Linked DNA regions of Coturnix japonica. The protein of the gene in region 2 interacts with the protein of the main gene of each other region in a biochemical or structural test. Links are inferred from orthologs where the notes say so. Each region holds a gene or a part of one and is shown on either strand. Other genes may lie near its edges.

Evidence for each region.
Region 1: the proteins of NPR2 (region 2) and NPPC form a complex in vitro, tested with the Homo sapiens proteins (3 studies listed by BioGRID). The link is inferred for Coturnix japonica from reciprocal best matches to the Homo sapiens genes NPR2 and NPPC.

The regions. Positions count from the first base shown.
Region 1 is NC_029524.1:13,423,957-13,428,452, forward strand, and holds the start of NPPC (C-type natriuretic peptide), read right to left. Parts: upstream 3,015-4,496; 5' UTR 2,764-3,014; coding exon 2,671-2,763; intron 1,773-2,670; coding exon 1,470-1,772; 3' UTR 1,457-1,469; intron 747-1,456; 3' UTR 1-746.
Region 2 is NC_029547.1:8,344,487-8,348,873, forward strand, and holds the start of NPR2 (atrial natriuretic peptide receptor 2), read right to left. Parts: upstream 2,879-4,387; 5' UTR 2,851-2,878; coding exon 2,127-2,850; intron 1-2,126. UniProt on the Homo sapiens protein: Receptor for the C-type natriuretic peptide NPPC/CNP hormone. Has guanylate cyclase activity upon binding of its ligand. May play a role in the regulation of skeletal growth.

The DNA.
Region 1 (4,496 bases), on a different chromosome or scaffold from region 2:
TGCCATCACTCTGCTGCTCTCCCCTCCCGGCCGGGCTGTGGCAGCGAGCTCAGGTGCTTCCATCGGGCAGAACTGGCTCCATCCGAGCACAGCAGCGCTGGGCACGACTTAAAGCACGAGGGATCAAAGCTTCCCCCATCACAGCCTTCCTCCGGCTCCTGCCTTCTCTAAAGCATCCCGACCATCTCTCGGCTCCATTCCAATCAATCAACCCGACGTTGCAGTTGGACGTGGGTTTGATAAATAAAGACATGTTACCAAACGGTTTTTCTTTCTTTTTAACCTTTTTTCCGGCTACTTAGGACAAAGAAAAAACAACAACCCCAGCAACGTGACAATGCTTGACTTCTCCTTTAGTTACATAAATAATTTCTTTATAAATATCTCTTTATAAACAATATATAAATAGCTTTACAACATAAATACATTTATGCATGACATGAATTTACAAACAGCAACGTTATACAGCCGGCTTCATCAGTCTCTCAGAAAAGCACTGTCCCTTGTCTCGGTGAGTGTTTGTATATATAATATAGAGAAGATAGAGAGCGCTTTTAAGGGGGGGGAACGGGGAGGGAAAAAGAACAACCGAAACAGCTGGTGGGTGCCGTGACTCCTCGTACCGAAAAGAAAAACACAGCCACATCTTTTGTCCGATCCTGGGGGGGTTTCTCTGCTCTTCCAGGCGGTGCCTGAGGGGCGGCCGTGCCCGGCCCTTGGGGGAACGACGGAGCTGCTCCGGTGCCCTGCGAGGAACGAAGGAGAGCCGTGAGCGCCCGCCCCGCATTGCCCAGCATTGACCCGAGATGCGACCCCGGCGGGATGTCCCGGGTTTGGGGTGCGGGTACGGAGCTCGATGCTGTGATACAGCGAGGGGAAATCTCGGCCCGCTCTTGCCGGGGTTGTGTGTTGGTGATGCTGACCGCTCGCCCCGGGGCCAGCAAGGACGGGAGCTCGCGGCTTTCTCGTCCTGCCCGCCGCGCTAAAGCTTTATGGGTACGGGGGGATCCGGGAGCAGAATGAGAACGGAGCTGGGATTCGGGGGGTCCTCCGGCCCAACCCAGCCGAAAGTTTTCGCTCCTCGCACCCGGCTGAGAAACCGCCCTGAGCGGAGCCGGGCGCGTGGGGTGAAAGTTCTGAGCAGAGCTTAAGGACACAGGGCGATGCCCCGGGGATGCCGAGAGCCGGTGCCGGCACCTGCGGGTCGCACAGCCGGGTGTCTGCGTCCGGACACAGCCCGGACCGGGGCGGAGCGGCGGCACCCTCGGTCCCCGACACGGCGGAGGAGCCGCGCTCATTGCCGCTGCCCATGGCCGCCCCGTGCCGCTGTGCTCAGCGGATCCCCCGCTGCTCGGCTCGGCCGGACTCGCACATCGCAGCTCCACGGGAACCACCCCCGGGGCAGCCCCGCCCGCCCCGCGCCCAGCACCGCCCTCGGGCCGCGCCGCGCACTCACCGCCAGGGGTCCCTCAGCAGCCGAGGCCGCTCATGGCTCCGATGCGGTCCAGCTTGAGGCCGAAGCAGCCCTTCCCGAGCCCCTTCTTGTGCAGCCCCTTATGGCGGCGGCCCGACGGCTCCTGCAGCAGCCGCGCCCAACCCGCTCGGGGCCGCGTCTCTGCCCGCGCCTCCCGCGCCTCCCGCGGCCCCGCGCCGCCTCCTCCGCCGCCTCCTCCGCGGTTCCGCTCCTTCTCCTTCTCCTTGTCCCGCTCCGCTCCCGCAGCCTCGGGCGGACCCGCCGCCGCCGCCGCCGCCGCCGCTGCTCCGCGGGACGCCTGCGGGGAGACGGGCGGTCACTGCGGGGCGGTCACCGCGTCCCGAGCTCCGCGTCCCTACCCCGCAGCGGAGCATCCCCCGCCGCCCCCCGCGGCCCCCGCTGGGTCAGTGCGGCCCGGAGCGGGGCTGGGGCGGAGCTCCCCCGGGCTGTGTGCAGGGCAGCCCCGAGATGGGGTCGGAACACCCCAAACTGGGCTCACCGCACCCCCCAATTCAAATGGCTGCGCCCCCAAACACGGGTCGCCGTGACCCTCCGCCTCCCACCAGCCCTCGGCCCCTTCCGATGTGGGGTGGTCCCGCTCCCCAGCTGCAGGGTCGCTGCCGCTCTGTGCTGATGCCGCTGTCACCCCACTCTGCAAAGTGGGGAACACCGGGTCCCCCGCTTTCCCAGCTCTGCCGCTCACACCTCATTAACACGCTCTGAGCACTCTCACTTCTGCGTCCTCCTCACTGCCTCCACTGTCCCGTCTGCGGCTGCTGCTCACCCCCTTCCTGCCCATCACGCCCCCCAGCTCTCCATGCCGACATCCCCCACCCACCCCCCCGCTGTCCGGCTCCGTGTGCCGTATCTCCGGTACAGGTGTCGGTGTCCTCCAGGACATCCCCGCTCCATCCCCGAGGGACACACAGGGTGCCCCCCATGGGCTCCGACCTCACACCTACACCCGGGTCTGACTCCAGCACCGCAGGGTGACGTGGGGACAGCCGTGTCCCCGCTTACTGTGGTCCTGCAGGGTGAGGACTCGCAGCGTCCTCTCCAACCACAGTTCTCCCCTACACGTGGGTCGGTGGTCTCCTACCACCCACAAAACCCAATGGGAAGGAGGACTCCGTAGCGCCATCCCCTCGCCCTAAGGACTCTATTGGGGCTCAGCAGCGGGGCAGAGGCAGCCCTACCTTCTGCGGGAGCTGGGACGCCGGCTTCGCCTCCAGCCCGACGGAGAGCAGAGCGAGCAGCAGTCCTCCGGCCAGCACGGGTGAGATCTGCATCCTGCAGTGCAGCGGGAATGGGGCCGGGGGGCAGCGGGGAGCCCCGGGGAGAGGCCGGGACGGAGGGAGTCAAAGTTCAGCGCGGAGCCGCGAGGTCCCTCCTGCCGCCCGCGCTGTGCCGAGCCACTGAACTTGGGCTTTCTGCTTCATTCATTTTATAACCCAACCTGCTCGGTGATGTCATCTAAACAACCAGGTCCAGCCCGGCCTCCCACTGCACAATAGCAGGAATTTAAAGGGGGGGTCCCCTCTCCCCTGGCAGGAACAAATGACACATCAGCCCAAGGCGATGGGCTCACAGAGCTGGAGAGCCAAAGAGGAAAGTGAGGGGCATTTGGCTGAGCTCCCCCAACCCCCCCCCCCGAGGGTGGCTGTCACCCCGTATCCCCCCACCCCACAGCCCCTCTGCTGCCCCCTCATCCATGCAGACCCCCAGGAGGGGCATGGGATGGCTGCTGCACTCCGCAGGGGGATCCTGGAGGGGGATTAAGTCCCAAAAGCAGAAATGAATGCGAAAAGCACTTCCCCGCCCCCCCCGCATCCAGGCTTCAATCAGAATGAAACTCTCAGACCCCCGTTTGCCAGGAGAGGGGGACACTGCTCTGCATGGCGGTGACACGGGGACACGTGGGAACAGGCTCACAGGTGGATGCTGTGGCTCAGACCTGGTCCCGCTCCCTGTCCCTGCCCTCCCGCTGGGGGTCGGGATGCTGCCCTCACCCTGGGGCAGTCACAGCTGCTTCGTCTGCAGGGTACGGTCAGTGTCACCCTGCCCTGCAAGGACAGTCCCCGTGCGATGTGGCTGTGAGCGCTCCCACCTGCTGCCGGGGCTGCAATGGAGGATGAGCTTTGGATGCTGGTGGCAGCTCAGGGCACGCAGCCGAGGGCAGGACTTAGGATTTGTGGTACCACCGTTGCTGCCATGCATGGCACCAGAGCCGCACCAACCCCATCCCTGGCGCCCTGAAGTGCAGGGATGCTCTTAGTGGTGCAGTGCCCCCAAATCCTATCCACGGCACCATGGAAAAGCTCCAGGCTCTCCCCAGGCTGGTGCTTTCCCTGTTCTCTGGGACTCCCCGGGGCTCTGCTCTGCCTCCAGCAGGATCCGAGCTCTTTGGGGGGCTGTGGTTTCCCCCCCTGCAGCTGCACTGCTGGGCACGGGCCGCCTCGCAGGGAACCATCCCTTCAGTTCCATGCGGCCGGGAGCTGGAAGGAGAAGGTCTCGGTGGTTTTTCCATTGTGCCTGCCAGGTGGAGACAACTTGGGCTTTTTGGAGCGCAAAGTTGCACTCGGGCACTCGGCTGCATGCAGGCAGATAAAGGCGATGGAGGCAGCATTACAGCCGGCCCCCCATGCCAGGTGACCACACGCACAGGCGTGGGGCACAGAGTTCCCTTCTGTATTTTGTGGGGCTCAGCCCCATGGGGAAGGATCCCCCCGTGGGATGAGGGGTTGCAGCCCTATGTCTGAGCATCCTGCACATGGCACAGCACAGCTGGATCTCACCACCGTGCTCTGCTGGGTTCCCGTGAGCATGTTTGCTTTGTCCCAACGCTTGCAGCCTCAGTTTTGGGGGCTGTGCTTTTAAAATCCAATTAGTGCTGTTATTCAAATCACCCTGCCCTTAACCGAAACCAGACCACATCCACCCGCACTGCTTCACAGCAGCAAAAAGCTCTCGGGTGGGGGGATGGAGGGGGAAGAAGGGATGGAGAAGGGGTTAAAAGCAACAA
Region 2 (4,387 bases):
GGGAGGGACAGGCTCTGGGACACAGTGTGGCACAAGGCAGCACGAGGGACACGGACTGTCCCTTCAGGGGGTTTTGCCATGGGGCAGAAACCACTGGGGCTTCTTAGTGGGACATCCTCCCAAAAAACACAATGCCACCCCTGTGCCACCTCCTGCCCCACCCCACAGCCCTTGGGGACACCACGTGAGACCATCCCTGGCTGTGACAGCTGGTAGCAGATGGTGGCACGGCCGCGCAGGGGCCCACATGGTCACAGCCCTCATCACGGGGGGAGGTGGGGAATGGAGCCAGCGTGGCTCCTGGGGCAAGAGATGTGCAGAGGGGTTGGGGCTGTGTGACAGGTGCCACCCAAATGGGGGAAAACACACGGGGCTGGAAGCACCATTGAGCAGCAGGGGACAAAGCCCAGCGCCCACCCATGTCCCCAGGCGCAGGACCTGCGCTCTGAAGGCAGATGCCCCGGTAATTCCCTCATCTGCAGCTCTAATTATATCAGCCCTGCTGCGAGCAGCAGCAGCGACGTGGGGCCCGGCACGTCGCCCTCAGGCCCAGAGAAAGGACATGGCAGCACAGTGCTGATGGGGCAGGTGCGTGCCAGCCCCATTACTGCCACATGGGGATGCAGCCACATCCCCCGTACCCACATTTGGGGCAGCAAACACTGAGGAATGGGGAGCACCGGGGGCACAAAGAGGGACGTGGCTCTCCTCAGCCTCACCCCGGGTGATGCCAAAGCAATGCTCAACACAGGGTGCATAGTAACAGCATTCTCCACAGCCCCACACAGCATGGGGCAGCTCCAGGGGCCCCATGTCTCTGCCCATGCTGCCTTGAGCCAGGGGCACCGATCACATCAGGGTGATTTACAACTCCAAGCCGGAAACGTTGGAAGCAATCGCTGAGCCGAGCTTTTTCCCCGTGCACTCCCTCACCCCAGAAAGCCATCAGCTCAGGGCCAGGGGCTCACAGCTCCCTCAGGCTCAGCCCTGCTGGCCCATCTGGCTCCTCTCATCCTAGCCTCGTGTCCTTCCTAATGACACAGCATCTTCAGATCCATTAAGGAGAGCTGCCTCCCCGATCGATACGCCCTGCTCATCAATAATGGAAGAGCAGCTGCCTGCCCTTGCTCTCCAGCTGCCTCCAGAGCCCCTCCATTTCCTACTGCACCCAATACAGCCACTCTCCTGGGGCGTTCCCAGCCTTGTCCCCAACCCTCCGCCATGATCACAGCTGGGGACCAGCACCAAGGCAGCGGGCCAAAGGGCCAGGCTGTTTCTTCCCTGCATGGGGCACATCCATCTCACTGTGCTGGCACAAGAGCCACTGCCAGCACTGCCCATCAGTGGCCACGTCTGCACCATCACCTCCGCCTCCAGGTCCAGCCTGCCCTTGGTGGCCCAAGCCACAGGGTGCCACAAAGGTGCCACCATGTCTCCTGTGCCCTGTGAGGGGCTTCAGGCAGGGATTGGGGGTCCCGAGGTTCCTAATCCTGCCCTGGATATCCCAATGGTACCAAGGTGACTCCAGGTCCCCTAGGGCCAGCCTTGTTCCACCACTGCACCCGCTGTCCCGTGCCCCCCCAGTCTGCTGAGACCCCCCCTTCACCATGCCCAATGTTCTGCCTCACACGGGTCCTACAGCATCCCCAACCACTCACTGTGCCCCACAGAGGTCCCACCGTGTGTCTTTCCATTTGCTGTGCCCCACAAAGGTTCCCTCCTACCCACTTCTAGTTGTGTCCCACACAGGTCCCACTGTGCGTCCATCCCCTCATCGTGCCCAGTCGGGTGTCCCCACACTTTTTCTGTGACTCACAAGGGTCCCGCTGGGTGCTCAAATTCTCACTGTGCACCACGGGGTCCCCAGAATCGTGCCCACCCATTAATGCCACGCACGGGTCCTGCTGTTCGCCCCAGGCGCAGCCCCCCCTCCCTCTCCATCCCCGCACCGCGCCCCACCGAGCACTATTCCGCACTCTCGGCGCGGCTCCCAGCCCCGCGCGAGGCCCCCGTTCCCTCGGCGGGACCCCCGCCCACCTCATCCCACCTCATCCCATCCCGTCCCGTCAGTTCGGGCCCCGCCGCCCCTCCCGGCACCGCACGCGTCGCTCCGAGCCGCCACGCACCGCGCCCGCTGGCCTTGATGAAGTGGATGGCGGTGTCGGGGCCGCCCTCGTCGGGGGAATAGATGTGGTGCCGGACGGTGAGGTTGCTGCCGTCCTGCAGCTCCTGAAAGACGCCCTCGATGGTGAAGTAGTAGGGCCGGTCGTCGGTCTTGCGGTCCACGTAGAGCAGCGCGGCGCGGGAGCTCCAGTTGAAGTGGGCGTGCAGGTGGGACACGAAGGCGCCCAGCTTGGGTGCGGAGGGCCCGGTGCGCACCGTGGTGCGGTAATGCTCCCGCTTCTCGCTGAAGCCCACGGCCACGGCGCCGGCGGTGATGAGCGGCAGCCGCCAGTGCGAGGCGAAGCGCCCCACTGAGGCGGCGGGGTAGACGCAGCCCGGCCCGAAGAGCACGTCGGGGTCGTGGTAGAGCTTCAGGTCCACGGCCTTCAGCGGCGCCACGTACTCGGAGCAGGCCCCCCCCAGCTCGGAGCTCATGAACTCGACGCGCACCGAGAAGGGCCGCGGCAGCAGCGGCGGATCCCCCCGCTGCAGCGCCTCCAGCGCCAGGCTCAGCGCCGGCTCCACGCGCGGCCAGGCCCACGCGTAGCTCACGTTGCGCTCCGGCAGCACCACGGCCACCGTCAGGTTGGCGCCCGCCCCGTCGGGGTTCGCCGCCCGCCGCCCTCCGCCGCCGCCGCCCGCCGCCGCCAGCAGCGCGGCCAGCACCAGCGGCAGCCGCGGAGCCATGGGCCGCGATGGCTCCTGCGCCCGCCGCCGCCCGCGGCTCCTCCGTCCGCCGCCCCGCCGCCTGCACCTCCCCCGGGCGGGGCCGCCCCGGGACGGGCAGCTCTCCCCCCCACCCCTCGCCGCCCCGCCCCGCGCCGCCCCCCGCCCTCGGCCCCTCGGCAGCCGCGGCGGGTGGTGGTCGCGCCGTCGGGGCGCGGGGTCTGCCCGAGCCGAGAGATGGGGAGCGGGCGCGTGGGTAGGGGGTGGGGGGTGTCGAGGAGAGAGGCAGAGTGCTGAGAGTTCTCAGCGCCTGGGGGAGTTGGGGAGGGGGCTGGGGGTGATGCGGTGTTTGCGTACCGGGGGTCCTCAGTGCCACGGAGGTCCGAGTTCTGGGTAGACCTCAGCATGGAGGGATTGGGGAGTTGGTTCCGGGTGCTGGGGGTTCTAAGCGCGGGGGAGAGGGGAGGGCGAGTAGGTTATGATGGTCGGGGTACGAGGGTGTCCAGCGTGGGGGAACTGGGGAGGGGATCTGGGGTGCTGGGGGTTCTCAGTATTGGAGAATCAAGAGGGGTGCCCAGGTTCTGAGGAGACCTGGACGTGGGGGTTGGGGAGGTGTTCCCGGGTGCTAATGTGCCACAAGACACGGAGGTCGGTAAGGGGTTGGGTGCCGGAGGTCCCCGTTATGGGGGGGGATTGGGTGTCCGAGTTCGGGAGTTTGGGGTGGAGACATGGTGCAGCGTGACGAGGTGGTCACTTAGGGGAAGTGGGAAGTAAGTACCCAAGTTCTGGGGGTCCCCAGCGTAGAGTGATTGAGTGCAACGTCCAAATTATCGGTCGTGTCCATCCTGGAACGGTTGGGAGGGGTGCACAACTCCTGGGGGTCCTCAGCATGGGGGGGGCACTGTGGAGATGGCCCTGAGTGCCCACAATGGGAGTCCCTTTGGATTTGGGGTGCGGGGTCCCACGGGGGTACACGGGGCAGGGACAGCCGGGCTCGGCGCAGGCAGGAGCGATAGGGGGGTCTGGCGGGGCCCCGCTGGGGGCAGCGTGCCCGCGCGCATTCCGCACATTCCGGGCCCCCCCACTCAGTGCCACGCGCCCGCCCCACGCGTGAACGCGGACAGAGGATGGGCGGGGGCGGGGGCGTGGTGGGGCTGCGTGGGTCCGGCTGCCCACACGGGGCCCGCGGTGGGGACACGGAAGCAGCGGGGGTCCGGGTCTCCTCCGGGGTATGTAGGGGGGGCTCCTCCTGCCGGTCCCGCTGCAGGTGTCCCCCGATGAGTGACACGTCGCCCCCCGCGGGGTTGGGTTACGGATATAAATACCCGAGGGCGGTGAAACCCGACCGGCAGCGGCGCGCTGGGGACCAAAACCTCTCCGAAAAGCAACAAAAACGAGCCTCGCTGCTGCTGCTCCTGATGTCGCCGTGCCGCCAGGGAGGGCCCGGCAGCGGCGGCCGTGTGCTGACATCGGACACTGCGGGGACACGGACAGGGACGGGAGGGGCTGCGCGCCGCACGTGGTGCCATCACTCGTACACCCACGCGTGGGCGGGGGT